Linked DNA regions of Notamacropus eugenii. The protein of the gene in region 1 purifies or fractionates together with the protein of each later gene. This does not show direct contact. Links are inferred from orthologs where the notes say so. Each region holds a gene or a part of one and is shown on either strand. Other genes may lie near its edges. The genes, in order: SQSTM1, CASP8, EPDR1 and E3 ubiquitin/ISG15 ligase TRIM25-like.

Evidence for each region.
Region 2: the proteins of SQSTM1 (region 1) and CASP8 purify together in Homo sapiens (affinity purification with western blotting; 5 studies listed by BioGRID and IntAct, with this or other methods). This does not show direct contact. The link is inferred for Notamacropus eugenii from reciprocal best matches to the Homo sapiens genes SQSTM1 and CASP8.
Region 3: the proteins of SQSTM1 (region 1) and EPDR1 purify together in Homo sapiens (affinity purification with mass spectrometry; 3 studies listed by BioGRID and IntAct, with this or other methods). This does not show direct contact. The link is inferred for Notamacropus eugenii from reciprocal best matches to the Homo sapiens genes SQSTM1 and EPDR1.
Region 4: the proteins of SQSTM1 (region 1) and E3 ubiquitin/ISG15 ligase TRIM25-like purify together in Homo sapiens (affinity purification with mass spectrometry; 3 studies listed by BioGRID, with this or other methods). This does not show direct contact. The link is inferred for Notamacropus eugenii from reciprocal best matches to the Homo sapiens genes SQSTM1 and TRIM25.

What each region holds. Positions count from the first base shown.
Region 1 is NC_092872.1:416,510,064-416,517,098, forward strand, and holds the start of SQSTM1 (sequestosome-1), read right to left. Parts: upstream 3,010-7,035; 5' UTR 2,798-3,009; coding exon 2,623-2,797; intron 1-2,622. UniProt on the Homo sapiens protein: Molecular adapter required for selective macroautophagy (aggrephagy) by acting as a bridge between polyubiquitinated proteins and autophagosomes.
Region 2 is NC_092877.1:297,410,468-297,418,295, reverse strand, and holds the start of CASP8 (caspase-8), read right to left. Parts: upstream 3,020-7,828; 5' UTR 2,883-3,019; exon of another isoform or gene 2,756-2,882; intron 2,548-2,755; exon of another isoform or gene 1,285-2,547; intron 1-1,284. UniProt on the Homo sapiens protein: Thiol protease that plays a key role in programmed cell death by acting as a molecular switch for apoptosis, necroptosis and pyroptosis, and is required to prevent tissue damage during embryonic development and adulthood.
Region 3 is NC_092874.1:478,735,157-478,742,648, reverse strand, and holds the start of EPDR1 (mammalian ependymin-related protein 1), read right to left. Parts: upstream 3,006-7,492; 5' UTR 2,596-3,005; coding exon 2,369-2,595; intron 1-2,368. UniProt on the Homo sapiens protein: Binds anionic lipids and gangliosides at acidic pH.
Region 4 is NC_092873.1:368,989,287-368,997,136, forward strand, and holds the start of E3 ubiquitin/ISG15 ligase TRIM25-like, read right to left. Parts: upstream 3,005-7,850; 5' UTR 2,909-3,004; coding exon 2,279-2,908; intron 1-2,278.

The DNA.
Region 1 (7,035 bases):
ATCATTCCCATTTTAGAGATGAAGAAACCGAGGCAGGCAGGTTAAACAACTTGCCTAGACTTGTCACACAGCTGGCGTCAACCCACTTCCCCCAACAACAAACTCCAGTGGCTGCCAATTGCCTCCAGGATGAAATCTGAATCCAATCAGATCTTCCTGACTCCAAGCCTGGCACTGTATGTGCTAGCTGCCTAAGGGAATCAAAGACTACAAAGTTAGTATACCTGGATCTCTGAAGTCATTTTTTCCAGGAAAACTCCCCCCCCCCCCAAAAAAATTCGAAAGTGAGACCTCTGCCTCACTTTATAATCTCATTTCTCTTTATCAGTGTCTCCACTTCCTCTCCTCAACCCCTCGCAATCTGACTTCCAACTTCATCATTCCACCAAAACCTTCTCTCTCCAAAGTTACTAATAGTCTCTTGGTTGTCTTTTTCTCCACCCTCGTTCCCCTTGACCTCTAACATAGTTGTGTCAATCTCCCCCCCTTGACACCCTCTTCTAGGTTTTCAGGACACCACACTCTCCTGGTTCTCCTCCCACCTCTCAGATTGTTCCTTCTGTGTCCCTTCCTGGATCCTCCTAATGATGCCACCCTTTAATCATGGGTGTCCCTCTAGTTCCTATACCTGGGCCCTCTTCTCTCTCACTTGCCATGGATCTAATTATCATCTTTATGCCAATGATTCTTAAATCTCCCTCTCCTAACCTCCATTTTCTCATCTCCAACTAACTTTTCAGACACCCAGAACTGGATGTCTAGTAGACATTTTTAACTTAGTTAAACTAAGTCCAAAGCTGAAATCAATCTTTCCCCCTAAATCCTGCCCCTCCAACCTTTCCCTTTACCCTCAGGAGCCACATCATCTTACCAGTCTCTCAGGTTCTTGACCTAGGAACGGTGAACTCCTCACCCATCTCTCATATTCGAGCCCTGCCAAGGCCTATTGATTTCACCTTTGCAAAATCCTTCCAGACACTGCCAACCCCCTGGGTCCAGGCCCTCATCACCTCAGGCTTTGATTACAACATCCTGCTGTGGGGATGGGGTGTCTGCAGGCTTCTCATCTCTCCTTCTTCCAATCTATCCTCCAAGCCACTAAAAGTGATTTTCCTATGTTCAAGTCCGATGGGGTCAACCCACCTTCCCCTACTCAATAAACTCCAGGGCCTCCCTATTGTCTCTAGGATCAAATACAAAAAGCTCTGCTTGGCCTTGGAAAGCCCTTCACAACCTTTTCAATCTTCTTACACCTTACTCGCCCCTACAGGTACTCTTTCTTATCCAGCGACACCAGCCTCCTGGCTGTTTCACGAACTCCAACCCTCAGCTCTGGGCATTTTCTCTGGGTGTCCTGAGCCTAGAAAGTTTTCCCTTTGGTGTTGACTGACCTCCCTGGTTTCCTACAGGAAGCCTTCCCCAAACCCTTTAAATTCTAGTGCCTTCCCTCTTTATTCTGAATGTAGCTCTCTTTCTACGTATTTATTAGCATGTGGTCTCCTCCATTAGACTGTCTGCTGCCTCTTTTGGTGTGCACGGATCTTGTGTTGCCTAAGGATACATCGATTTAAACCAATCCAATCTCCAAGGGTGGTCTCTAAGTGGGATTTCCCCCCCACTCTTTGACTATACAAACATTTCTGGAAAAAAAGTTTAGCTCGTTTGTGGGATTCATCACACGTTATTTTACTAATTAGTTTGGAGACGGTGAGACAGAAAATGGTCACAGATTCTGGAAACTTCTGCCCTGGGGGGAGTAGAAAAGCCAAGGACTACTCTGGGGGCGGGAGGGCCGCCACCGTGGGCTCCGTCCAGGTCCAGCTCGGGCAGTCACAACAGGACCAGGAGGCTGGCGGGCGGCCAGGCCCAAAGCAAGGCTGGAGCCGTAGCAGCGCCAGTAGTAACGCTTCCATGGAACACTCACGCACAACAGCGCTGGCAGCTTGGCCTTACTTCTAATGCCCATTTTACCGACGGGGACGCTAAGGCAGGAGGCGATGAAGCGACCCGCCCGGCGCCGCACGGCTGGGACAAGTTTGATGCCACTCCTGCCAGGGCACACGCGGGCACCGAGACACACACCTCCAAGCCAGGCACACCCTAACCGCCCCCAAGCTCCTTCCGGATCCTCCTCCTCAAAACTCTGAACCTTGGCTTACTTATTCGCATGTTTGTATAAACAGACTTGCTCGTGCAACAGGCTGCTAGATACGCGTACAGCCGCCGATATACGTACACACGTATTACGCATCCACGAGTGTGTGTACACACCCCCACACCCCCAAAACCAAGTGAACTCCTCGGGGGTAGGAGCGCCACCATTTTTCTGTCTCCAGCGCCTCGCACACAGCAGCGTTTAATAAACGCGGGTGGCTGCAGGCGGGCCAATCCTAGCCTAGCTCCCGGGGGACACGGAGACCTCGGCGGGGGTCGGTTCGGCTCCCGCCCAGCCTCGGCGGTTTGGCCCGCGTCACGGCACACGGGGTCCGGTTACGTAAGCCCGGCTCGGCCCGACGCCAGATAAACAAGCGGCAGGGTCAGGGCGGGCCAGAGCCGGCTGCGGGCTCGGAGCCCCGCTCCCGGCCAGGCCCCCGCCTGCCCGGCCCGGCCCCGCGGCCTCACCTCGGTAGTACACCTGGAAGCCGCCGGGCCGCAGCGCCGGGAACACCTCGGCCACGCGGCGGAGCAGCTTCTCGCAGCGGCCCGGGCCGTCGAGCGGCTCCACGGTGAAGCGGCGGATCTCCCGGGCCGCCTCCTCCTTGCCCATCAGGTAGGCCTTCACGGTCAGCCGCTCCATCTCGGCGTCGGCGGCACTGTGCAGGCGGAGAGGCCGGTCTCGGCAGCTGAAAACACGGACGAAGGCGACCTGCGACCCGCAGACGTTGGGACGGCGTCTCCGGCGAGCCCGCCCCGCTCAGGTCTTATACACGACGCCCGAGTCTCCGCCCGGCTGGGGCGGGGCCGGGAGCTACGCGCCCCCCCCCCGGACCCCGCCCGCCCCCCTCCCCTCACGTGTCCCTCGGTGCTAGCTCACGCCCCGAAGCGGATCCCTCGTGCGCTGCCGAAATAAACAAGTGGGGGGAGGGGTCTGCCGTTCGGTCCGTAGTGGCGGAGCTGGGGGCTCTGCGACCCTGGGAGGCATCAGAGTGGGGGCGGGGAGCAGTTCCCACGTGCCAGGGGATGCAGCTGTCTAGAAAAGTATCCCAGAGGCTTCCCACGTGCGTGTGGGAGGGGGTGTCCCTGTAGCCGGAGGAGGCTGAAGGGACCGTCATTTTGCCCCTGGAAAGGAGCGGGAGGCTTTTTGGGGGGTGAGGGTTTTATGCGCCGTTGGGGGGAGTGGAAGGTGGAGGGGGCAGGGAGGGGCGCCGTGTTCTAGGGGAGGTCTCAGCGTCGGGGCGGGGGTGTCTGCTGTAGGAGGGAGGTCCGCGGACCTGCGGAAGGGCCCCTTCAACTTTCAGAAGTATGGGAGCCCTGGCTCTTCCTTAGGGCCCTGAGCTGTGGGGAGGGGGAGGTCTCCGTGCCCCCGGTGCCCCAGCACGCTGGCGAGGGCCGCATAGGGCAGGAAGAGTTGGGCACCAGGCCGCTTCCCTCCGGATTCACAGCCCCACGGGTGAGGGACTTCCCCGGACTGCACACTGACCTGACTGAGCATGACTCAGCAGCTCGCCTGGCCACTTCGGGGCCTCCGGGCTCCGGGAGCTTTCTCTTACCCCGTGCCCCAAAGTGGGCCTGCTGCCCGCAGAGGGGGTCCGCAGCGCTCCTTGCCAGTGTTCACGGACCGTTAGCCAAGGAGAACTTAGCTCGGTGACCTTCTCTGATGGCCAGGGCTCCGAGGCTAACTTGTCTAACTTGCCTAACTTGGCCCATGGGGCTGGGGAGGCTTGGTTTGCCCCTCATTGTTAAATCTGGAATTTTCCATCTTCCTCCAGCTCCAAGAGCCACTTGACTGACCGCGTAGAGATTAAAATATAAAGTACGCGTTATAAATGTTGATACAATATAATATAGATTAAACTATGCCTAACACATAGTAGATGCTTAAAAAATGCTTATTGCTTGAACTACTTGTCCCCTCAAAATCCCCTAGGGTCTGTGCCCTATGCCGTGCCCTTGTCCCCTGAGGCCTGTGGTGCTGAGCTCTTTCCATCTTTCTCCAGTAGAAGGCCCAGGAGATAATTCAACTCTTCCATTCTAACTTACTGTTGTTTCTGACTCTTTGTGACCCTTTGGGGGTATTTTTGACAAAGATACTGGAGTGGTTTGTTATTTCCCTCTCCAGCTCATTTTACAGATGAGGAAACTGAGGTAAAGAGGGTGAAGTGACTTGCCCAGGGTCACACAGATAGTGTCTGAAGTTAGATTTGAACTCAGGTCTTTCTCATTCCAGGCTAGTTCTCTATCTACTGTGCCACCTGGCTGCCCTCCACAATTCTTGGTCTCCTTCAAAACTTAAATCAAGAGATACAGCATAAAAGAGATACAGGAAACCTCTCCCAACTCCTCCAGTTTCTTGTGCCTTCCTCTCAAAACTTAAATTCTATCTATTTTGCTTATATTTTTGTATGTACATACTACTCAACCAACCCCACCCCCGAAGAGTAAGTTTCTTGAGGGCACAGACTATTTCCCTTTTGTCTTTGATTCCCTAAGGTATAGCACAGCCACAGGCCAATGATAAGCCTTTCATAAATGCCTTTCGATTGGTTGATTGGGAATGATGATAATAAGTGTCTGGCTTTAGGGAACAACACATGTTATCAGGGGAATCTGGGGAGTTTCACTGGGCCAAGAGGAAAGGGGTTTGACTAGCACTGTCTGTGAGATCAGGCTTGTTTCACTCCAGTCCAAAGGAGAATTGAGTCACAGGTTCATTTCTATGATTCTTTGTCCCTGGGAGTTCTCTTGGGTAGGATTTTCTCAGGTAGAGGGTGAAATGGATAGAGCTTAGGGCCTGTAGTCAGGAATTCCTGAGTCAGCTCTGACCTCTGACACTGTGTCACCTTACTGCACAAGTCACTTACCCTCTGTTTCAAATAATGACCGCCCCTACTTTCCAGGATTACTGTGAGGATCAAATGAGTTTACATTTGTAAAGCATTTAACACCGTGCCTGACACATAGTAGGCCATATATAAATTCTTATTCCCTTCCCTATTTGTTGACTATCTACAGCAGGTTCTCCTTCCTTTTTTCTAGGCCTCCCCTCAGGAAGCTTATCTAATGGGGAATTTTAGGCAAGTTAATACTGTGTCACTCTCCTACTCTCTTAACTTCCTATTACCTGTAACTTAAAGTATAAACTCCTCAGTTTAGATCTTAAAACCCTTCACAACCTGGCCCTATCTTTCCTCATTCACTGAACATTAACTCCCTTTCTCACGATCCAATCAAACTGGCCTTCAAGCCATTTCGCATCTCCTCAGTTTTGCCCAGGCTGTATCCCACATCTTGAGTGCACTCCCTCCTCCTTTCTACCTCTTGGAGCTTCTAGTTTCCTTAGAAGCTCAGCTTAAATGCCAGCCAGCACTTCTTGGAAGAAGCAAGTGCCTCCCCCTGAAATGACTTCACATATACTTTGTGTGTGCTTGACTCTGTGCTTGCCTTCCTTCTTGGCCGTAGGGATGTCACTTTTTGTCTTAGCCTCAGCACGTAGCCCAGGGCCTGGCACCTAATGGAGGCTTAATAAATGCTTGTTGATTGATTAATTGCTACAGGGATTGCCACACATCATCTTCCTTGATCCTCCTAATAACTCCATCAGGTAGGCACTTCAGGTACCATTTTCTCTACTGATGAGAAAAGTGAGACTCAGAAGAAAGGGAACAGGAAGGATATGGTGGGGAGTCTATAAAAGGTAACAAGGAGTCCAGGATCCCTAAGGTCAGCTAGCTACTTAGAAATGAGGCAGCAGGGCCAGAGAACCCAGGGTTAGTAGAAAGGAATTCTGGTTGGGGGTGGGACACAGAACTTTCTAGAGAACACCAGAAACTTGGGGGGGTATCCCTACTCTCACTCATTTAATTACTTTGGCCACACCCCTTCCTCTTGAGTATTGCCCAACCAGGCTTGGCTCAACCCCATCCAGTACTTTCTAAGGGAGGTAGGAAGGTTTCTGCTCCTTGGCCCTTGGGAGTGTGGGTAACGATGACTCAGTGAGTTCCCAGCCTTGTCAGAGTTCTCCAGCCAGGGCCAGAAGCCAGATGCATCACTTGCCAACCCCCTGCTCAGCTTTAAGGCTTATAAGTTGGAATTTAGAGCTGGAAGGGATCTTAGAGGTCAGTGGAGTCTAGCCCTCTGGGTGAAAGGTTGTAACCTCCATCCTGACTTACTAACAGATACCAAGCTAGGGTCATGGAGTCAGAACTGGAACAAACCTCAGAGGTCATCTAAGCCAACCTCTTTTACAAACAAGGAAACCAAAACCCATGTATGTTTAGTGACTTGCCTACTAAGTGACATTACTATTACTACTTCTGCTGCTGCTGCTACTATCACCCAGGGTCACACAAGCCATAAGAGAAATGAATGAAACATATCCTTCAGATTTGACTCTGTCTCTTCCCAATGAACCACAGTGGTTTCTTTCACTATAGGGGCGAGAGCTGCTCTTTACCATTGGGTTCTGGCTTAGATTTGGTGGGAGGTGAGAGAGGGTGGTTAGGGGTGAGGAAAACACTCATATATGTATATTTTTGTGCATGTGTGTATGTACATATATATGTACGTACATTTAGATATATACCCATATGTACATATAGTGATAATAGCATTTGTAGAGCACATGAAGGTTTGCAAAGTGCATTGCAAATGTTATCTAATTTGATCTTCATGACAGCCCTGTGAGGTGGGTGCTGCTATTATCCCTGTTCTGCTGAAAAAGAAACTGAGGCAAGTCAGAGATTAAGTGCTTTACCCAGGGTCACATAGCCAGCAAATGTCTAAGACCTGATTTGCAGTCAGGCACTCTGTCCACTATGCTAACCTCTCTCAGCCTCAGTTTCCTCATTTGTAAAATGGGAATGATGTGGTACCTGC
Region 2 (7,828 bases), on another chromosome or scaffold:
CTATTCTTCATTAAGACAGACATTAAAGAGATTTGCAAAACTATGTGAAACAGTGCCAGTCTCATCATTAATATTCTTTTGTTTTGGAAAACAGTAATTTTCATTAAAATATTATTTATGTTAACATAATGACTTGTTATTTTTAAATGAATGAATTAATAATTTTTTTTAAATCAGTAGATACGATCCACACAAATCACAGCGTTACTCAGGGGATGGGATGGAATTTCAACACAAGCTATCTTTCCCTTGGTGCAGACTCCTTAGGTGTACATGTTACCAGTAAGCTTTTCTAGGACAGAGTCATGTCAAAGTGCATGTGGATTATGCCAATTTCATCATCCCTCTCCATGCTAGAAAGAGTTTGGTTACAGATTAATAATTTTTTTTCTTAAAAACCTTTTCTAGCAGACTGATACATGTATTATATAAGTGCCTACAGTATTCATGTTTTTCTTTGATGCTTTATGCAGATTTCGTCATTGGTTCTTTCACTTTCATAGGATGATAGATTCCAGAAGTAGACGAGATCTTCCAGGTCACTAAGTCCAAAGAAACTGGGCAAATTACACAACTTGTAGGTGTCTGGATTTGAGCCCAGTTCTTTTTGACTCCAAGTCCAGTACACTATCTATCCAAGGGTAGGAAATCTATAGTCTTGAGGCCACATGTGGCCCTCAAAGTCCTTGAGTGAGGCCCTTTGAATCCAAACTTCACAAAACAAATCCCCTTAATAAAAAGAATTTGTTCTGCAAAACCTGGACTCAATCAAAAGGCCACACCCAAGGACCCAGAAGGCCACAGGTGATCTGGAGGCTACAGATTCCCCACGTCTGCATACTGCCTTTCTTTCTTTCCTTTTAATCCTTCCTTTAGATCAACCTTCCTAAGATGAATTTGATTTGCTTGTGACTATTAGGGACAATAGCTCTTTGATAAGACCACCTGACAAATGGTAGAGAGGTTGTGATCAGCATTGGTGGAGGGGTCTTCTCATCAGGGAAATTATAGATCCTTAAAGTATTGGAATAAACATTCCTTACAATAAGCTTATCATCATTTTCTAACATTCCTTTTGCCTCTCTTCAATCCTCCCATTGCTCCCCTTCCTCCAGTTCTCTCAGCTGAGAAGCTTGCCTCCTATTTCACCAAGAAAGATTGAGACCATTCACAAAGAGCCCCCTCTTCTTCCTTCTTCATCTCCTATCACTCAGATGCCTTGCACTCCTATTTCCTCCTTCACCACTGTCTCACATGATGTGACCCTTCTATTTGCCAAGTCAAAGTCCTTTACACACAAGTGATCTCACTCCACCCTGTCTTTTCCAGCAGATCACTCCTCTGTCATCTCCACTCCCACTAATCCTCATTTTCTCTCCATCTACTGGTTTTTTCTCTACTGCCTATAAACACACCAGTAAGGGCAAACACAAACCTTCCCCAAAACCCTTTCCTCTCTGGTCCTCCCTCCTGGGTCTTCTAGATATTTTCTACAGTGCCCAAGAAAGAACTTTTTCTACAATGTCTCTTTACTCTGGAACTCACGCTACTCCCAGACTTCATATTCAAAATGGAACCCTCTGACTCTTGGACATTCGCTTCCCCTGGGCTCCACCCAGAACCTCCATCTTAAGGAGGTGGCCTGGGCCCATCAGGTATTCATTCTATTCCAAGTGGCACTCTTGAATCTCCCAAACATTTTTTTTTTGCACTTGATACCTCTTTTTCCTTTCCTTTTATATGTTTTCCTCCTTTAGATTGTGAGCTCTTTTGAGAAGCACGAATTCTTTTTATATCTCCATTGCTTAACACAGCCTGATGCACAGTAGGCACTTGACTGACTGACAATCAATACCTTCACTTTCGTTTCTCTCACTCTCCCAACTTTTTAAAATCTGATTCAACTAAAACTGCTTTCTCCAGATTTACCAATGATCCCTTAAAAGCATATCTAGTGACCTTTTCTCAGTCTCGATCCTTCTCGACCTCTTCTCCCTCTATACTGTTTCTGTTTGGCGATGTTATCAGCTTCTATGGATTTCACGATCTTTTCTAAGTTAAAGATTGTATTTATTCATAACTATTTATCTAGCCCTAATCTCTCTCCTGACCACCTTCCTCATATCTCCAACTGCCCTTCATAATCTCGGTCCCCTCTGACTTCTTCCACCTCAGTCCCCTCCACTTACTCTTTAACTTTTCCAGGTTTTCTTTTTTTACAACTTAGTAACCTTCCCTCCCCCCCTCCAATTCCCATTTACTCTTCAATGTTGCATCTGGAGCCATCTCCAGTCGTCCTAATCTATAGCTTGCCACTGGACCCAGAACTCACTGGAGAAGAGAATGAGTCTGGTGACTTTGCACAGCCCTCCCTCACTTAAAAACTTATTTGCAAGTCGAGACAGCACCTTCCTCATGTCACAACAGACAACAAACACACACAATGCTCCATCTGTCACCTTAAGGCATTTTCATTATTGTTTTCCACTCATGGAAGTCTCTCCCTCCCCAGCTACACCTCCAGACTGCCCTGCATTCAAGTTCCAGGTAAAATTCTACTTTCTACATCTGGTCCTTTGTCATGCTAGCGTCTTCCCTCTGAGGCTATCTCCAATTTATCTTTTATGTATCTTATTTAGACAAGATACATGTATCTTGTTTGGACATGATACATGTATCTCGCATATCTTGCATATCTTCCTCGCGAGACTGACAACTTTCTGAGAACTGTTTTTTGCCTTTTTTTAATCCCCAGCCCTTAGAACAGTGCCCAGCACAACAGAAGTCACTTAAATCCTGGTTCTACTTCGCGAAAAAGTAAGAGATTGGGTTTCTCTCCCCCTTCCCCCCCTTCCTTCCTTCCTTGGACCGTGGCAACTCACCTACCGAAGTGGATTCCGCGTTCAAATGGTGGCGGGGCCGCCTCTCTTATCTCTCTCGGTTCCGCACTTTCAAAGTTAAGTCAAGTCACCAGCCCGGAAAGATCCCGCTGGCTGAGCTCTGTCTGGGCACACTGCAGGCTTCAGAAGCTGTCCAGCGCGAGCCCCGCGGCGCCCGGAGATACTGATTCTCAGCAAAAAAGAAAAGAAAAGAAAAGAAAAAAAAGTCAGCGAAGGGAAAACCAGCACATTTTTTAAACTGGGAACTGAATGAGTCATTTCCCCTCCCCACCTTCTGAAAAAAAAAAGCTTAAAGGACCAGGACCTAATTGTCTGCTTGACCCTAAGGTGAAGTTCAAAACAAGGAAACGTCAATTTGAAAACCGTCTAAGGGAGCCCCACCCTGGTTCAGAACAGGTAACTCCAGAGGGCAGGTGGTTGATTGGGGTCTTTAATATGAGAAGACAGCCCACCCCTACCCAATTCCTTTGCAGAAGGGAGAGGTCCACCGTGCGGAACATTGCATATATTCTCACTTTCTTCGTTCGATTTTAGGTTTTTTTTTAATCCTTCCTTTTCCTCCTCTCCCCTTTAAAAATATTTGTTATATAGATGGCTCTCTGGGAAGGGTAGGGAGAGGCATACCAGTAGACATTTAGTGATGGAAAAAAAAAAGATGACTATAAAAAGAAAGACAAGAGAAAGAATTAAAGAAAGAGAAAGGGAAGAAGAGAAGGGGGGGAGGGAAGAGAGATCTAAGATTAGTAAAGTCGGGCCACCAGAAGAGCAATATGATAGGCCAGTTGCAAAATTTGCCACTCCAAAAATAAACACTTTTCCCCATCCCCATCCTCACTAAATTCCTGAAATTACTTTTCCCCTCAACTATCTGAACCCCAACAGTCTCAGCTCTATTGTGCTCCTCTAGCTCAGTAAAAAAAAAACTCTCAGAGAGCAAGGGCTGTGTTTTCTCTTTGCACCCCCAGAGCCCAGCATTTTACCTACATGCTGATAAATCCAGGATGAATTGAGAAGAAAATGATCAGAGACAAATTAAATTCATAATCCCTTGCCCGAGAACCTGGCTTAGTAAGGCAAGAGGATCTCATTTGCTCTTTTAAGACTATTTGAGACTCCTCACTAGGGTTTACAGATACGGTGGGGAACCTGATGTGGAGAGGGGGGTGAAGGCTTTGCCCAGAGTAATTGATTTTATTTTTGTTTTTTAGGGCTGTGATTTCTGCTGCCCTCAGCATGAAGAGGAAGAGTTTAGAGAACAGCTAGTCAATCTCCTTATTTTACAAGTAAGAAAACTGAGGCCCAGACAGAAGCTGTTGGCCCCCAAAAACTTCTCTAGCTATCAGCCACCTTGAGGAATCTGAACCAGTTACCCACCTCCTGGCTTCCATCCATCTCTTCCTGCAGGGACTTCAGTTACGTCTACCTCCCTTCCCCTCCCCTCCCCTCCCCTCCCCTCCCCTCCCCTCCCCTCCCCTCCCCTCCCCTCCCCTCCCCTCCCCTCCCCTCCCCTCCCTCCCCTCCGCTCCCTTCCCCAGCTTCTCCTTGATCCCCCCCACCCCCACATCTTCCTCTTCCTTAAATGGGCTTCTAGATTCACAGGGCCTTACCTCCACCTACTTGTCCCTGCTGTGAGACTAGCTTCCTAGGACCCTCACAGGACACATCATCATCTACCATGAGATTGGACAACACCAAGAAGTAGGAAGAAGAGTAAGCATTTATTAAGCATCTTCCATATGCCAGGCACTTTGCTAATCACTTAACAAATGTCTCATTTGAATCCTCACCACAGGTGCTCTTTTCATCCCCATTTTCCAGTTGAGGGAACTGAGGCAGACAGAGGTTAAGTGACTTCCCATAGTCACACAGCTAGAAAGTGTCTAAGGTAGGATTTGAACTCAGGTCTTCCTGACTCCAGGCCCAGAGCTCCACCTATATTGAACAATATTGAACCTACTTCCCCAAATAGATCTCTCTCCAATCACTGCTATTCTTTTTGGCCTCATTTCTCAAAGGCCAGAATACTCTCACCCCCTCATACTCTCCCCATTCCAGTGATTCTGACCCCATGGTTACTAATGTACAAATTCTGTTCCCCATCTCTAACTACCCGTTGGTTAAGAAATATCCCTAAGACCAGTAAAACCACATTATTTTCATATATGTATATGTATGGATACATACAACACATACATATATTTATATGTGTAAATATATATAAACATTCCTATATATGCTAACACATGTGCACATATATGATGTGCATATATACATATGCACACACATGCACGTGCGCACGCACACACACACACATACTACAAGCCTTCTTCCCATCCCACTCAACCCAAACCCTAACAGAATCCTGCTCCAGATGTATCAATCCTGTTCCACTGTACTCTCTGGAATACTTGCTCCATAATTAACAAATTTCCTTTCATGTTAAACCTCTTCCTTTCTCTCTCCTTCTATCTTCTGGCACTGACATTCCTGATAATGACATTCCTTCCACCACACATCTTCCTGGTACTGGCTGCATTGTCTGTTATACCTCCAACTAGGTAGTGTAGTAAATAAAACAGCTTGAGGGAAGGAAGACCTGAGTTCAAATTCTATCTCAGACACTATATTAGTTGTGTAATCCTCAGCTAGTCACTTAACCTCTATCTGCCTCAGTTTCCTCATCTTTTTTTCTTTATATTTAAATTTATTTATTTAAGTTTTCAACATTCATTTCCACAAAATTTTGGGTTCCAAATTTTCTCCCCATTTCTCCCCTCCCCCCACCCCAAAACACCGAGCATTCTAATTACCCCTATCACCAATCTGTCCTCCCTTCTAACATCCCTTCCTTCCCTTCTCCCCATCTTCTCTTTTGTCCTGAAGGGCAAGATAAATTTCTATACCCCATTGCCTGTATTCTTATTTCCTAGTTGCAAGAACAATACTCAACAGTTGTTCCTAAAACTTTGAGTTCCAACTTCTCTTCATCCCTCCCTCCCCACCCATTCCCTTTGGGAAGGCAAGCAATTCAATATAGGCCATATCTCTGTAGTTTTGCAAATGACTTCCATAATAGTTGTGTTGTGTAAGACTAACTATATTTCCCTCCATCCTATCCTGTCCCCTGTTTCTTCTGTTCTCTCTTTTGATCCTATCCCTCCCCAAGAGTGCTCCCTCCTCCCACTGCCCTCCCTTCCATTATCCCCCCCACCCTGCTTATCCCCTTCTCCCCCACTACCCTGTATTGTAAGATAGGTTTTCATACCAAAATGAGTGTGCATTTTATTCCTTCCTTTAGTTGAAGATGATGAGAGTAAGCTTCATGTTTTTTCTCTCACCTCCCCCCTTTTTCCCTCCACTGAAAAGTCTTTTACTTGCCTCTTTTATGAGAAATAATTTGCCCCATTCCATTTCTCCCTTTCTCCTCCCAATATATTTCTCTCTCACTGCTTAATTTTATTATTTTAAGATATGATCCCATCCTATTCAATTCACCCTGTGCTCTCTGTCTGTGTGTGTGTGTTGTGTGTGTGTGTGTGTATGTGTGTGTATAATCCCACCAACTACACAGATACTGAAAAAAGTTTCAAGAGTTGCAAATATTGTCTTTTCATGTAGGAATGTAAACAGTTCAGCTTTAGTAAAGTCCCTTATGACTTCTCTTTGCTATTTACCTTTCCATGCTTCTCTTGATTCTTGTGTTTAAAAGTCAAATTTTCTTTTCAGCTCTGGTCTTTTCATCAAGAATGTTTGAAAGTCCTTGATTTCACTGAAAGACCATTTTTTCCCCTGAAGTATTATTCTCAGTTTTGCTGAGTAGGTGATTCTTGGTTTTAGTCCTAGTTCCTTTCACTTCTGGAATATCATATTCCACACCCTTTGATCCCTCAATGTAGAAGCCACTAGATCTTGTGCTGTCCTGATTGTATTTCCACAATACTTGAATTGTTTCTTTCTAGCTGCTTGCAATATTTTCTCCTTGACCAGGGAACTCTGGAATTTGGCCACAATGTTCCTAGGAGTTTCTTTTATTGGATCTCTTTCAGGAGGTGATCAGTGGATTCTTTCAATATTTATTTTGCTCCCTGGTTCTAGAATCTCAGGGCAGTTTTCCTTGATAATTTCATGAAAGATGATGTCTAGGCTCTTTTTTTGATCATGGCTTTCAGGTAGTCCCATGATTTTTAAATTGTCTCTCCTGGATCTGTTTTCCAGGTCAGTTGTTTTTCCAATGAGATATTTCATATTATCTTCCATTTTTTCATTCTTTTGGTTTTGTTTTGTGATTTCTCGGTTTCTCATAAAGTCATTAACGTCCATCTGTTCCATTCTAATTTTGAAAGAACTATTTTCTTCAGTGAGCTTTTGAACCTCCTTTTCCATTTGGCTAATTCTGCTTTTGAAAGCATTCTTCTCCTCATTGGCTTTTTGAACCTCTTTTGCCAATTGAGTTAGCCTATTTTTCAAGGTGTTATTTTCTTCAGCATTTTTGGGGGTCTCCTTTAGCAGGATGTTGATCTGCTTTTCATGCTTTTCTTGCATCTCTCTCATTTCTCTTCCCAATTTTTCCTCCACCTCTCTAACTTGATTTTCAAAATCCTTTTTGAGCTCTTCCATGGCCTGAGCCCATTGAATATTTATTTTGGATGTTTGGGATATAGAAGCCTTGACTTTTATGTCTTTCCCTGATGGTAAGCATTGTTCTTCCTCGTCTGAAAGGATGGGAAAAGATATCTTCACCAAGAAAGTAACCTTCTGTAGTCTTATTTTTTTTCCCTTTTTTGGGCATTTTTCCCAACCAGTTACTTGGCTTTTGGGTCCTTTGTCAAGAGTTGGATATACTCTGGGAATATGTAAGATCTCAGTTCCTCCAAGGTGGTGCAATCAAGCTTGTACTCGTCTGGACACAGAAAGGGATTTTTGTGCCC
Region 3 (7,492 bases), on another chromosome or scaffold:
ATGAAGAGACCCAAAAATGGAGTGGGTAGAAGGGTGCCTTCTCACTCCTTGAGAGTCTGGAAGAGAGAGGATTAATTATCATTTGGTAGAGAAGGGTTTCCTTCCAGGTATGGGGTAGATGAGGGTTGAGGCCCCACCCAGCTCTAAGAATTCCATATTCTGTAAACCAAGGCTCAGGATGCTACATACTTCTTATCAGTCCTTGGCTAAGGGCAATTCAACTGCCTGGACTATATTTCTCCTTCCAGTCTACAATGATTTGATCTCTCTTCTCTCCCAGTCAGTGCCTTCAAGATCCACTCAAAAGGCTGGATTTGGAGTCTAAGAACCTGAATCCAAGTGCCCACAAGCAACCTAATCTACAGAAAAGAGGACTAAACTTAGATTCAGGAAGACCTGGGTTCAAAGTCTGCCTGTGTAGCCCTGGAGAAGTTTCTTAATATCTGTCAGATTCCAGTTTCTGAATTTGCAAAATGGGGATGTTCATAGCATCTATGTTGCAGAAATCAAATGAGGTAATGTGTCCAGGCATGAAGGGGAAATAAATGTCAGCTCTGTTTAACCCCTCTGGGATTCCTGTAAAATGGTGGCCAACTCGCAATCCAGGAGGTCCCTCCCTCACCAACCCTATTCCCGCCCCACCCAGCATTACCTTATCAACGATGGCGTCTTTTGTAAACGGTGTTTTGCCAAGCTTCTCGAGTTCCTTTGTCTCCCTTAGCAGATGGCTTCTGCTCCCTAATTTCTCCTGTGTCCCCTCGACCCCACCCCCCACCGATCTTCAGGTGTCCCCTGGGCCCAGAACAGAGGACTATAATGCGCTCGGACTGACTGGCCTCTCATCTGGATGTTTCCCTGCCCTGGGGACAGTGCAGCTATAACTTGGCCTTGTGCCAGGCTGCAGCGGAGCCGGCCTAATGCCTCACTACCTGAAGCCATCCCAGAAAATTTTCCAGGAGGCCTTCCCAGGGACATAAATAGAAGAGCCAGGGGCAGCCTGGAAAAGGCAGGGGTAGGAAGCGTTGACTGCTCTAAAGAAAGTACACCATCGCCCCAGTTCTACTGAGGCAAGGTGCCGGGCGGGGAAAGGGTGGTCTGCAGAGCCTGGAATTCTCATCCTAGCAATCCTGGCAGACAATACTACGCATCCCCTGCAGAGGGAGGTGCTGCCGCCCCACCCAGTCTGGCAGATGCTGCAGGCTGGCAGAAAGAGGACAAAGCTTGTCATCAAAGAAAACCTGAGTCACCAGGAGCCGCAACATGGGGGCAGGGTAATGAGTGGGACTGGTGAAAGATAGGTCCCACCCCAACCAAAGAAATTTCTGCGCACACTTTCATTTGATTCTCTCCTCTTCCCTGGCCCCGCCCTTCCCCGACTTTAATCATCTCCCCGAACGTTAAAGAGGAGGGGAGTCCGGTCCTTTCTTAGTGGGATCTGACGTGGAAAAGAAGAGGCGTCCCCTATACCCCTCCTCAGCCCCCGCTCCCCGAAAAGAAAAGTTACAGACAGACAAGAAGCTAGCCCAGGTGCAGAGGTCCTCCCCCCACCTTTCCACCCATCCTCCCGCAACCCCACACCCTCAACCTCCCCGGTCCCCGGTCCCCACTCCGGCCTCCCGCCTCCGCAATGCACCCCGATTCCACAGCCTGAAGTGCACTAGTAATGCATCCCCTCAACCTCCTCCTCGTACCAGGAAGTGCTACTTCCATCCCCAGCCTTTCCGAACCCCAAAGTGCTCTCCCGCACACCCCGTGCAACGACTCTCCCCCCCCCCCCACTGCAGCGCTCCCTCCACCGTCCTGCCTTACGCAGTGCATTACTCTGCCTTGCCGCAGTGCGCCCCCGCCTCCCCGCCTTACTGCAGTGCGCCCCCCTCCCCGCCTTGCCGCAGTGCGCCCCCCCTCCCTTTTTGCCGCAGTGCGCTCCCCCTGCCTTGCCGCAGTACACCCCTCCTCCACCTCCTCTCCTTGCCGCATTGCGCCCCTACCCCGCCTCCCTGCCTTGCTGCAGTGCGCCCCCCGCCCCCCTCTCTGACATGTCCCTCAATGAACCCCACCCCACACCCTCAACGCACCCCGCCCTGCCGCAGTGCGCCCCTCGCTTCCTCTCCATGCCCCTCTCCGCATTGACCTCCTTCCCAAAGCCGCAGTGCTCCCCCGCTCTTCTCCTTGCGGTGCTCTCCAATGAGCCCCCTCCCATACTGCAGTGCACCCCCCAGCCTCCCTGCCTAGCTATGGTTCACCCCCAGCCTTGCCGCAGTGAGTCCCCGCCTAACCATAGCCCCCACCTCGTTTCTCCCCACCATCGAAGCCTTCCCTCCCTGCACCCCAGTCCCCCTAGTCCCCTGCCTGAGACCCTGGCACTTACTTCTTGCAAGGGATGAGAGCCTTCCTCTCCTCCAGCAGGCGGACGCGCTGCTGGAGGGCATCGTAGGAGAGCAGGGCGCGGGTGTTGCGGCCGCTGCTGTGGTCGTAGCGCACCTGACGTCCTTCCCACTGCTGCGGAGCTTGGCATGGCGGCCCAGGATCCCCGACAGCCAGCGCCCAGCTGCAGAGGCTACCCAGTAGCCAAGCCACTAGAAGCGCAGCGCGCATCCCTCTCTGTGCCACAGGGGACAGCGCAGGTGGAAAGGCGCGGGCTGGGGAGCAGGGTGGCCAAGGACGGGGCACGACTGGGCTGGGCTGGACAGCGCTGGACTGGACAGCCCAGGGCAGGGCAGGGCAGGGCAGGGCAGGGCTGGGGAAGGAAACGCGGGAAAGGGCAGTGGCTCTCTCGCCGCCGTCCCCTCCCTCCCCTAGCCGGTCGGTGCACTTGCCGGGGGAGGGAGGGACGGAGGTCCAGTCGGGTCTGGAGAGAGCCGCGACCTCGGCTCCGGCTTCCCCGTGCGCAGGGAGCTGGCTGGGGGACACTGCGGCAGGGAGCTCGCAGCTGGCTCCCTCCCGCTCCGGCTCCGGCTGAGACTGCGGCTTCCTTCCCCCCGCCGCCTCTCTGCTGCCAACAGGAAATGCAGAGGCAAACGTGCCCGTCGCAGCCCAATGGGCATCCGCAGAGTGGACGTGCGGGCGGGGGGAGGAGGGAGAACTCGGGCAAATGCGGGAGGACTGCAACACCAGCCGGGCGGGGCTGCGGCAGTAAATGCTGGAGACAGGACCAGCTGCCCAGAACTGCCACTCAGTCTCCCCCCAAAACTCCAAGGGGCATCTTGGCATCCCTCTGGACACCAAGTGGGGAGCCAGGTTCCGCACGGAGGGAGAGAAAGCGCCCTTAACTTCACGTTAGGATGAGCTGGTAACGACCTTAGCGATTCTCTGACTCGGGCCCCTCATTTTTCAGATTAAGAACTAGAGGGTTTCCGGGAAGGACAAGCAACTGGACGTTGCAGTGGTAGAGCATGGACTTGACCCAGTAAAGTCCGGGCCTGCAGTCTGGAGAGATTGGAGTTGGATTCCTGGCTCTGGCTGTAACTCTTACTAGCTGGGTGACTTAATTTACCCAAGCCTCAGTTCCCACAGTTTGCTTTTCACACTATTTAAATATAAATAGAGCACTATATAAGTGGGAGTTGGTGTCACCCCATGGATCCAATAACTCAAGAAACATTTATTAAACTCCTCCTGTGTAAGGCATGGTGCTAGGTCCTGCACCAAACTGACAAAAAAGAATCTGTTCCTGGCCCCAAAGAGTTTGCTTTGGGGGATAAAGGCTCTTTGAAGTGTGGCCTTTTCACTTGCTCAATCAGATCAAACCACTATATCCACACATTTGTAAAAATTACCTCAGGCCCCTTCAATGTACTACCCATGTGACCTTAGGCAAGTAATTTGCCTTCTCTGGCCCTCAGTTTCCCTGTTTGTACAATGAAAGGGATGGACTAGTTGACCTCTTCGATTATAGATTTCAAACTGGAAAGGACCCCAGAACCCATCAAGGCCAATCCCCACATTGGACAGATGAGGACTCAGGTCTAGTGCTCTTTGCACTCTACCCACCACCCTTCTCTCTAGTTCTACATCTAGTATTCTCCAACCTCCATCTGACAGTTTTTTTTCTATTTGAGGGAGTCCAGGTCTCTGGATCTGAGGAACTCAGGACTAAAACAGAAGAATTACTCTTGCCCTCTCTAACATCACTGGAGGTCAAATACATATTGAGAAGCCTCACTGTCTTGAACTTGTCACACAGTAGATACTTAGTAAATACTTTTTGATTAACCGTGCCTGGTAACCATGAGTGACCTTGTGCCCCTGGGAAAGTGAGGCAGGAGGGAGAGCCAATTAAGATTGGATTTAGAAGACTGAGATATACTTTTACAATGCCCTGAAAGAAGAGACTGGTATAGAGCAGCAACTGTTGAGTAAATGTTTGAATCCTCATCCACAAAGGCCAAGGTGCCAAGCACACATTTCATCTCTTCCATTAATTGTCCAGGAAGTGGCTGAGATGTCCAGAGGCTAGGCTGGCCTTTAGCTTAAGCAGGGGGTTAGATCCTAGGACTAGTGGAAAAGCAGTGAAAGAAAGTGAAAGTGGGAGGAAATAGCAGATCATCTAGTCCAGGGGTGAGGAACCTGCTGCCTTGAGGCCACATGTGGCCCTTTAGGCCCTCAAGTTCAGCCCTTGGACTGAATGCAAACTTCGTAGAACAAATTCCCTTCATAAAATAACTTGTTCTGTAAAACTTGGACTCAGTCAAAAAGCTATGCCAAAAGACCTAGAAGGCCACATGTGGCCTTGAGGCTACAGGTTTCCCACACCAATCTAATCCAATCTTCATATTTTACAAATAAGGAAACAGATATTTTACAGATTAAAAAACTTTGAGAAAGTAAATGACTTGCCTGTGAAGTGATTTGAGGAGAGCCTAGAAGGGTTCTTCTTTGCCACCCCAGTTCTACCTTGAAAAGAATCTCAATCCCATCTAGGGGTGTGGTAGAACCAAATCTATCTTGGAGAGTAATTGTTGAATTTTCAGTCTGGACATTTACACCTGGAAATTAGTAAATGCTATAAATGAGAGCTTGACTTTGTAGTTCTGTTGATTTTCTAGACCTGAAGAAATTGATGGGGAAATGTTAACAATACAGATTAAACTTAAAAGTGTGTTCCAAGTAGTTGCTTGTTTAAAGATTCCACAGTGTCTCATGTACCATCCTTAGAAAGCCAGTCCTTGCTTGAAATTTGGTTTTTTTTTTCTCTGTTCTTGGTGGAGTGAGGCATTATCATTCATCTTGGTGTGACTATGCATTCTCTAATGGCAACCCTTTTAGAGTGGACCCTGAGGGTTCTAGTTGGGAGTCCCAGAGGTTGAGGCAGGGCCAAAGGGGGGGGTGGAGGATCAGGAAGGAGAACAGGAGCCCCCAATGTCAGAGTCACCATGTTGCCCAGGACCCTAAACAAGCCAGCCTGCTTGCCCAAAAGCAAACTTTATTGCCTCTCCAGGTAAAGTCTACTTCCTGTATTGTACATGAGTGTACAAGGGAACTGCACTGGGCCAAACATGCTCCCTATAAATGAGAAAACAAACTAATGAAGAAAGAAAGGCTTGCTTGTCACCCACAAGTGGCTTGAGGAAGGGCTAAGCATTTTCAGGAGAGATGGGAAAGAATGGCAGAGGGAACCCTGGAGACCCCCCCAGTAGTAGCAGCATTATTGATGATTATGGCACCTCCTACTTCAGGTCTTCATATTTTGTTGTAATAACTGAGAGGAATTAAGGTGCATTGTCAAGAGTTCTAGATTTGCTGAGTATCAGGGTTCCAATCTAGCTCTTCCAATTTCTACCTTGGGAAAACTAGACCTCAGTTTCCTCATCTGTAGAATGAGACAGTTAGACTGGATGACCTGTAAGTTCCCTTTCTGCTTTAGATCTAGAATTCTGAGATCTATGTGCCAGTTGTGTTTTTCTAGACTATAATCCCCCCAAGGACAGGGATCATGTCTTTGTGTCCCTCGTACATGGCACAATACCATGAACATGACAGGGAGTTAATAGATGTCTGTTGGGTGAAATTATTCACCTTTAAATCTTTCCAATGTAAGCACAAATCTAGGGCTAAGGTATAAGGATAAAGCTATATTGAAGACCAAGGCTTAAAGAGAACACCGGCTTTAGGTGGCAATTTCAGATTTGCTCAACATCAATCAATAAATATTAATAAGTACCTGCTATGTGCCAGGCACCTTGCTAAGTGCTGGGAGCAAAAGGAGCAAAAGACAATTCCTGCCTCAAGGAATTCATAGTCTAACGGGAGAGACAACACGCAGACAAATATATACAAAGCAAACTCTAGATAGAATAAATAAATACTTAAGGGGGTGAGGAGGGGAAGCACTGGGATTAGGAGTGATTGGTGGGATTTTAGCTGAGACTTCAAGGAAGTCAAGGAAGTCAACAGGTGGAGTTTAAAAGGGAGAGGGTCCCAAGCAGGGGGACCAATCAGAGAAAATGACCAGAACTGAGAGATGGAGTGTCTGACTATCGGAAAAGCCAAGAAGCAGAGTCACCCCATCAAAGGATAATTGTTGGGGAGTGAGATATAAGAAGAAGGAAAAGGTAGGAGAGGGTAGGGGATGAAGCGCTTTGAATGCCAAGGAGAGGATGAGGCCACAGTTTACATGTATGAAAGTAGGAAGAACAGAAGGCTATCTTTCTAAGGGATCACCTTAGAAACAGGGTGGGGTCTCATGTCTGGAGAACACAGTAAAGAGAAGTCTGTTGGAAGCATGCCTTCCTCATCTGCTCCTCCCACATCTGTCTTTACCCAGATCTGAAAAAGCTAAGGGAAGAAGAAAAATACCTTGATTTTAACTAGCCCTGGCAAGTCTATGAGTATCATTTCTCCTTCATAATTTAAATCTAGGATTAAAATTAGGAGTTTTAATTTTCCACGAAACAGACCAAGAATCTGGTAGAGTTAATGATGCACAGGCCCACTCTAGAATGGATCTGAAGCCCTGGAGTGGGCTGGGGACAACTCCCTGGTCCTTTTGATCTGATATGACTTCATCTCAACCTAAATCAATCCTCACCTCAACATCTAAGAAAGTCAGAAAGACCCAAGTTCAAATCTAGTCTCAGATGCTTACCAGCTGTGTGATCCTGGGCAAGTCACTTAACCTGTTGGCTTCAATTTCTTCATTAGTAAAATGAGCTGGAGAAGGAAATGACAAACCCCTCCAGCATCACTGCCAAGAAAATCCCAAATGGGGTCATGAGTAGAGTCGAACCCCTGACAAACAACAACAAACCTCAATTAAGCAATGCTTATTAAGCACTGACTACAAGTAAGACTCCAAACTAGCGGCCAGAAATAAAAATCGAACAGTCTCTTCCCTCAGTATGCTTATATTCTACCACAGAAATGCATGTAAACAAATAAACAAAACACAGAATATATGCAAAGTAATTTCAAAAGGGGGGTGGAAATCAGAAAAAGTCTGAAGTAGGAGGTGCCATCTGGTCTGTGCTATGAAGAAAGCTGAGGATTCTACCAG
Region 4 (7,850 bases), on another chromosome or scaffold:
AACTCAAAAATTTTAACTGCAACTACTTTTTCGTAGTAGCAAAGGACTGGAAATTGAGGAGTGGCCCATCAACTGAGAAATGGCTGAACAAGTTGTGGTAAATGGAATATTGCTGCGTTATAAAAAAATGATGAGCAGGCTGATTTCAGAAAAACCTGTTAAGACTTGTATGAACTGATGCAGAGTGAACTGAGCAGAACCAGGAGAACACGTACACAGTGATAGCAATACTGTACAATGATCAGCTGTCATGATCAATGACTTGGCTCTTTTCAGCAATACAATGATGCAGGACAATTCCAAAGGACTCATGATAAAAAATGTTATTCACCTGCAGAGAAAACTGATTGATTCCAAATGCAGATGCAAGTATACTATTTTTCACTTTCTATATTGTTTTTATGGTTTTTTTTCCTTTGGGTCTGTGTCTTCTTTCACAATATGATTAACATGGTAATATGTTTTGCAGCGCTGAACATGTATAACCTATACCAAATTGCTTAACAACTCAGGGAAGGGGGAGGTGAGGAAGGGATAGAAAAAATTAGAAACTCAAATTTTTAAGAATTGAGTGTTAAAAACTGTCTTTACAGGGAGGAAAATAAAATATTATTTTAAAAAAATGCTGCCACCAAAAACCTCCTCAAAACCCCAAGAAGATTCAGATTAAGGAAAAAGTAATGTGTATGGTGGAACCAATTTTCATCATTAAAAAGGAAAAGGTATCTTTTTGCATGACTTCACAAGTATAATGGGTTTTGTTGCTTGCTTTCTCAATGGGTTTCAGATGGGCTGGGGGAAGGAGGAAAAGATTTTAGAATTTGACATTTTAAAAAATGAATGTTAAAAAACAAATGATAAAAATATTTTTGAAAAGAAAAAAGGGAGAGTACATGATGACTAGAGTTCATAAGGTTCGAAGACTTTACAAAAATGCTCTGGGCTTGAAAGACCTCATCATGGTTCAATTCAAGAATCTTTAGATTCCTACTACTACATCCCAGGAGGTTCAGGCACAAAGAAAAACAACCAGAAGCGTTCCTGATGTCAAGGAGCATACGCTTTTTACTACAAGATACAACAGATAATGTCCAAAAAAACAAAACAAAACACCACAGAGAGAAGTTCTGAGGCATTTTTGGCCTGGTAGAGAGAGACAAAGACAAAGAGACAGAGACAGTGTGAGACAGACACACAGAGAGACAGACAGACACATAGATTTACAGTAAGCCTGGTTGATTCTCTATTTCTGATCATAGGAGTTAGAACTGGAAGGAGCCTTAGGGATCACCTAAGCTAATCCTCTGGTTTTACCAGAAGATTGAAAGCAATAGGAGAAAGAACCCTGGCTTCCAAGTAAGAGGACCAGAGTTCAATTCCCACTTCAAACATTTGCTACCTGTGTCACCCTGGTCAAGTCATTTGACCTCAGTCCCTCATCTGTAAAATAATGAGGGTGGATTAAATGCCTTCTGAAATCCCAGCTCTCTAAAATCTATTACCCAATAAAGACTGAAGGAAACAAAGTTTCTCATCTCAGCTTCACGGTTTTAGGGCAGTCACTTCAATCCGGGCCACTGGGAAACTAAAGGAGACCCTCCTCTCACTCCCCATCACATATTTCAAAATAACCTTGGGACCTTCGGTTCCCCAGATTTAGCAATACTGACCATAGGGAGGGAGGGACCCCGGATCCACCTAGGACCTCTCTGAAAAAATTCTGGGGAAGGAATTTCCCGCTAGCAAAGCAAAATAGCATTTTCCCAGCAATCTGTAAATTACCCAGGGCACGGAGGGGAATAGGAGACTTGCCCAGGGTGACACGGCCACTATAGAGGAGGCAGGGCTTGAACCCCCTCAAGGAAGCCCTCTCTCGTGGACTGTGGCCTTTTCTCCTAACAAGTCTGGGTACCGGGCAGGAATGACTTCGCCTCCTCCTACAGACCAAGAAACTGACACACTCGCACAGAAAAGGGACCCAAGCGCCCCTGCCGCCCAGGTAGGCGGAGAATAGGTGCCCCTAGATTCTCGAACCTCTCTCTTGAACCCCCACATCCACAAGCCCCCTACCTGTTTCTTGGCTGAACTACAGGTTCTTCCCTCGGAAGGCTCGAAGGAAAGAGAAGGAAAGGGAGGAAAGAGAAACTAATCCCGGCCCCGGGAAATTGAAACTTAGCTGGGCCGCAGCTACCGGTATCCCGCAGGGGCCTGAGGCTAACCCCGAACCGCTGCCAGGCGTCCCCCCCGCCGGACCTCTCCCCGCTCCCCCTCTGCCCACCTTCAGCTGGGTCCTGGCCACGTCCAGGGCCACCGGGGAGCAGGTCTTGTGCCCCACCAGGCAGACGCTGCAGATGCAGACGCCGTGCTGCGAGCAGAAGAATTCCCGGAGGCGGCTGTGCTCGGGGCACCTGCGACTGGCCAGGTCTGGGACGGGCGGCTGCAGGTCGTGGCTCAGGAACACCGGGTTGTCCAGGTGCGGCCGCAGGTGCTCCTGGCAGAAGGATGCCATGCAGGTGAAGCACGTCTGGGCGGCGGGAGCCCGCAAGCAGTAGTCGCAGGCCACGCTGCCGGCGGTGTCCTCCTTCGCCTGCGCCCACTTCGCGGACGGCAGGTCCGAGGACTCGCCATCTCGGGACGCACCGAGGGGCTGCCCCGAATCCCGGAGGTTCTGGGCTTGCTGCACCTGCTTCACCACCGCGCACAGCGCCGTGTTCTTCTTCAGCTGGGGCTTCTCCCGGAAGCACTGGCGGCACTGGGGGCAGTAGAAGCTGGAGCTCTGGCCGCCCCACGCCTCGTCCAGGCAGGGCGAGCAGAAGTTGTGGCCGCACGGGATAGTAACGGGCTCCTGGAAGAGCTCCAGGCAGATGGAACAGGTCAGCTCGTCGGCCAGGGGCTCCAGCTCGGCCATCGCGCTCCGCTCCCGACGCCTTCGAGGAAGAAAAGAAACTCTCCGGGCTCGGGGGAGAAAGAAATGAAACTAGCCGGAGGGGAGGGGACCCCGAGAGTTACGGGAAATCACGTGGGGAGTGGGGAGGAGTTGCAGGGCCGGGCTGGCCCTGGGGGTTGTGGAAGGAAAATATCAACATTCCGCCTTTGAGACACGCAAGCCAGAAAGAGTTGTGTTTCATTGACGTGCTCTAGCGAATCCAACAGACGTTTATTAAACACCCACTATGTGTCAGACGATGTCCCTAAACGCTAGGGATACACAGAAAGGGAAAAATAAAAATTCAAAACAACCCACAATCTCTGTTCTTGAAGAGAGTATATTCTAATGCCGCCTATACATGCGTATGGCCCAAAGGGCTCAAGGTCCCCCAGCGCATCCTGGGTCTTCGCCAGGCATCCTGAGGAATATCTGGGCACTGGATTCAGATGGCTCTGGAGGAGAAGTGAGGCTGGTGACCTGCACAGCCCTCCCTCACTCAAAACGAAGTCATGTGCAAGTCATGTCATCATGTCTCTGATGCCATGGCCCTCTTTGGCAAGGAAGGACGACCACAATATATGCGTGTGTATGTAGATAAATACACTATCTCTCTATATCCATATAGGTAATCGCGAGGAGAAAGCACTAACCTTAAGGGGGAGTGGTAAAGGCTTCTTGCAGAAAGTAGGGCTTGAATTTAAGGAAGGCAAGAGGAGGGAAAACATTCCAGGCAAGGAGGCTGTCACTAATGAAAATGCGAACTTCAGAGATGGAGCATCCCCTGCAAGCAACATCGAGGAAGCCCTTGTCACTAGATCGAATTGTATGCACAGGGGAGTGAATGTCAGGAGACTAGAGAAACGGGAGGGAGCCAAGTTATGAAGGACTTTAAGGCATTTCCACCTTGGAGAGAGGGAGAGTTGTCCATATTGTCATATACTCTGATACATCTCTGTACCACAAGATGACATGGGGTAGAATTTATAGAAATCTTGAACAAGCAGAAGATCACAATGCATTAAAGCACAGTTTAGGATTACCTTTCCAGAAGTCACTACTCACTTCCTTTTTGGACCCTTCCTTTCAAGGATTGAAAAAGATTACTTCCTACTTCCCCCTCCTCTCCCTCCCAGCCTCCATCTATACCTTAATCATGAATGGAAAAGAGGACACTGCCCTTAGGTGCAGTGCCATTCACTGCAGGTCAGGGGGATGCTAGGTTCTTATTTCAACCTAAATTAAATTTGGCTCTCATTCTTAATCCAGTCCTTTAACCTTTCTTCTACCCATTCTCTTAAAGGGAAAGTCTGAAAGACTTTTAGGTTGGAGAAATATTATTCCTTAATATTTCTCTTGAGCTAAAGAGGGAGGCTTTTACTATGCTTTCATAGGTTGGAGGAATGTAGGGAACCCTAGAGGTCCACAACGGTTTCAGGAGCACATGATGGCCTGATAAGCCCACTTGATTGTGCAAATGGAGCAAAGGTTGTTGGTTCGGCCCTCCGGAACCCTACACAATAGTCCCAGTTCTCTCAGTCTTGAGTAAACATTCTGGTACTTATTAAGACTTTCTAAGGCAGTCGTGAGACTGGTATCTGTACCTTAAGGAGGTAAATGTATCACTAGCTTGCCACAAGTATGGAACTTAAAAGGCTGAACAGTATATAAGGCTTGTACTTGCTAATAATAAACGGAGCTTGCTACATCTCTGTCTCCCGCCTCATCACTGCGTGCCTGAGACTCGAGATGTCCCACTGGTCAGGGGTCTCTTCACTGAGCCAGCCGTTACCTCAACAGAGGAAGAATGATTAGGACAACTCCTCAGCACAAAATAACAACCCTAATGGCAGAGATCCATCTGCCCAATGGGAGGCTAAGGAAAGGAAGAGATGGCTTCACTCAGTTGTTCTGTGAATTGCTACAAAGTGGAGTCTGGAGACCCCAACCAATCCCTGACAGTCTTTTCCACCCTGGGCCAGCAAGGACTTTCCCAGCCTTGTACTCTTTTGCCATCCCAAACCTCCTCCCTAGTAACTCAGGTTATGCCTGTGATTTAGAACTGGAGGTGCACTTAGAATAAACCACTTCATCCAGCTTCCTCATTGTACCCAGAGGAAACTTGGTACCAGAGAGGTGAAGCCATTCACTCAATGGTGTACAGGTTGTATGTGGCAAAGTCAGGATTAAAATTTCTCTGACTCCAGACCCAAAACTCTTCACTGTGTAGTTCAGACTTCTCCCTTACTTCTAATACTGCTGGTTTTGTTTCTAGGCAGCCCATTTAAACTGGGAAAGGGGTATCTTTGCTTCAGTCCATTTTTCATCCTTTTCTCATGTCTTTTCCTGGGCATATGTATGCAGAAATCTATCCAAGAAAGGACTTCTTCCCTGCCTTGATGGAATAGGAGGCAGCTAGCTATGTTACACTGGAGAGAACACTAGCTTGGGCATCAGAGGGCTGTGATTTCAGATCCCCTCCAACCCTTTCTGACCCTGTTGAGTTGCTAATCTGAGCCTCAGTTCCCTAAATATCTCTAAAATAATCTTTAAAAAATGTCTAAATTTCTAAAAGAAAGGATTGGGGTAGGTCCATCTGGATTCATGATCCTATTATCTCTATGTAAGGGAATGCTGACATAGAGAATCACTTGGTGAGGAAACTCCCTCTGCATTGTAAGGAAGCCCATTCTCTGCTATTTATAGTGTCAAATCAAGAAGTATATATTAAACACCTGCTATACCCTGGGGATACAGAGAAACAGAGAAAGAAGAGTCACCTAGAACACACAGAGATACAATGACTTGCCCAGGGTCACGTGGCTAGCATATTTCAGAGCTGGGGCTTAAACACAGATTTTCCTTAGAGTGGAAGCTGGCTCTCTAGCCACAAAGCCACACTGCCTCTATGATATATACATACCATAAAAAATAAATAAGGGAATGGAAGTGGGAGGGAAGAAATGAGAAAATAATGTGGGATTGAGTCAAAACTTGAAGTCCTAGTTAGAATCTCCTAATGCTTCTTGCTTCTGCACACCCCCATTGGTCAACCAAACTTTGAGGGAGATCTCTTTTGAGGTGGGATGATGAAACAATGACCAAAATCATTGCTCCATTTGTTTTTTCGAAAAGTAATCAATTTTAAACTCCATTAAAAGGAAATCCCTTTGCAAAATTGTGTGACTATATGGGGTCATCCCTAAGTATAGCTCTAAGTATGGGTCACTCCTTTAGGATGTAGGAAGTTGCTCAGTTAGCCTGGTAGGATTACAGAGCATGAGTCATTGCATGAAGGTAATTGATACTCATTGCAAAATCTAGGGATGGACTGAAAAGATTGGCCCTGACCTTTGAAACTATTTGTAGAGTAAGCTAGCCAGGTATGTCAGTCTAGAAGAAAGACAACTATGGAGGAAGAGCTCAGCTTCAGAGGTGGCTTTTTACTTTTCCCCTTGCTCCTATTATAAAATGGCAGTGGATGGGTAAGAAAGGTATATGCTTCCCTATGGTAATAGCAACTTGAAACGGAAACATATACCAGTGTCCAGGGCAGAAGAGAGTCCAGCAAAGTCTAGCTAAATGTGTCAGGGACAAGAATCAAGAGTTAGCTGCTAAGAGAGTGGATTGCATTCAAGAGATGGCAGTCCCCAGACATGACATTCTTACTGGTCTTATGGCTTGGGCTCTATTTTGTTCTAGAAAGGCATCATAGTACCATAGACCAGGATATTAGTCTAGCCCAAAGCTGGAGTCAGTAGTCAATCACTGAATAAGATTCTAGCAGAGCCTGAGAGACCAAGGTTAATGAAAGGAATTGGAGGACATCAACCATCAGTGGTGCCCTCAGCCCCACTACAATCCCCACTTTGAATATATCTTGATGACCCATATTCCTCTTGTGTGTACTTCATTTACCAACTCTGTAGGTATTTCTTCTTCCCTCTGACACCTTGAATATTTGTAGGAAATATTCTCCAGGTTTATGAAATGCTGTAACTGATATCATTTCAGTAAATGCCTTTGTCTTGAGCAAATTATGTACTATGACTGACTAGACTCAAGTCAACAAACATATATTAAGAAGGATCCAAATCTAAGGATACCTTAAAGGACCAAGCTGAGTCACTTGATACAGCACATTTTTTCCCATAGGGCAAGAAATAAAAATAAAAATAGAAATGGGGTGAAAATTTCAAAGCAAAATTATAATAAAATTTTCATGTCAATTGATGCATCTGGACCTTCTACTGGTAAGCACTTTACTATGTGCCAGGCACTGGGCTAATCAGTGGAAATATAAAAGTTGAAAACAGTCCATGCTCAAGGAGCTTACAATCTATTGCAGAAGACAGCATGCAAACTGCTAAGCATGTATAAAATATATACAGTGTAAATGGGAGGCAGTCTTAGAGGAACTAGCATTAAAAGGGTCTGAGAAAGTTTTCTTGCAGGAGGCGGGATCTTAGCAGAGACTAGAAGAAGCAAAGGCAAATGTATGCTGGGAACTTGTGAATTATATGGTGTTAGGAGTGTGGACCTACAAAGTCCTTGAGGACTCAACCTGCAAGTTTAAATGTGGATGGCAGGTGTCCCAGAGAGGTACCACCCCTGTGTTATTTAAAGCTCTCAGGTTTTCTCATGCAAAAAGACTTGGATGAGTATTTCAGTTGGAAGAATTTGCCATTTTTCTTGGTGATAATAATAAAGGTTATAATGAAAATTTCCTCCCTGAAACTGAAGTATTTAGTGGATTTTTTTAATGGAGTATACTCAATAAATCAATGTAAGATCTTCAAATTCACAAAGAACCATGAACCTCAGTTATGCTGTGCCATGGTGATACCCAATTTACAAGTAAGTGAGTGCCCCCAGGCATTATATGTATGCTACTTTTATTGTTATATTGAAGTTGTTTATGTGC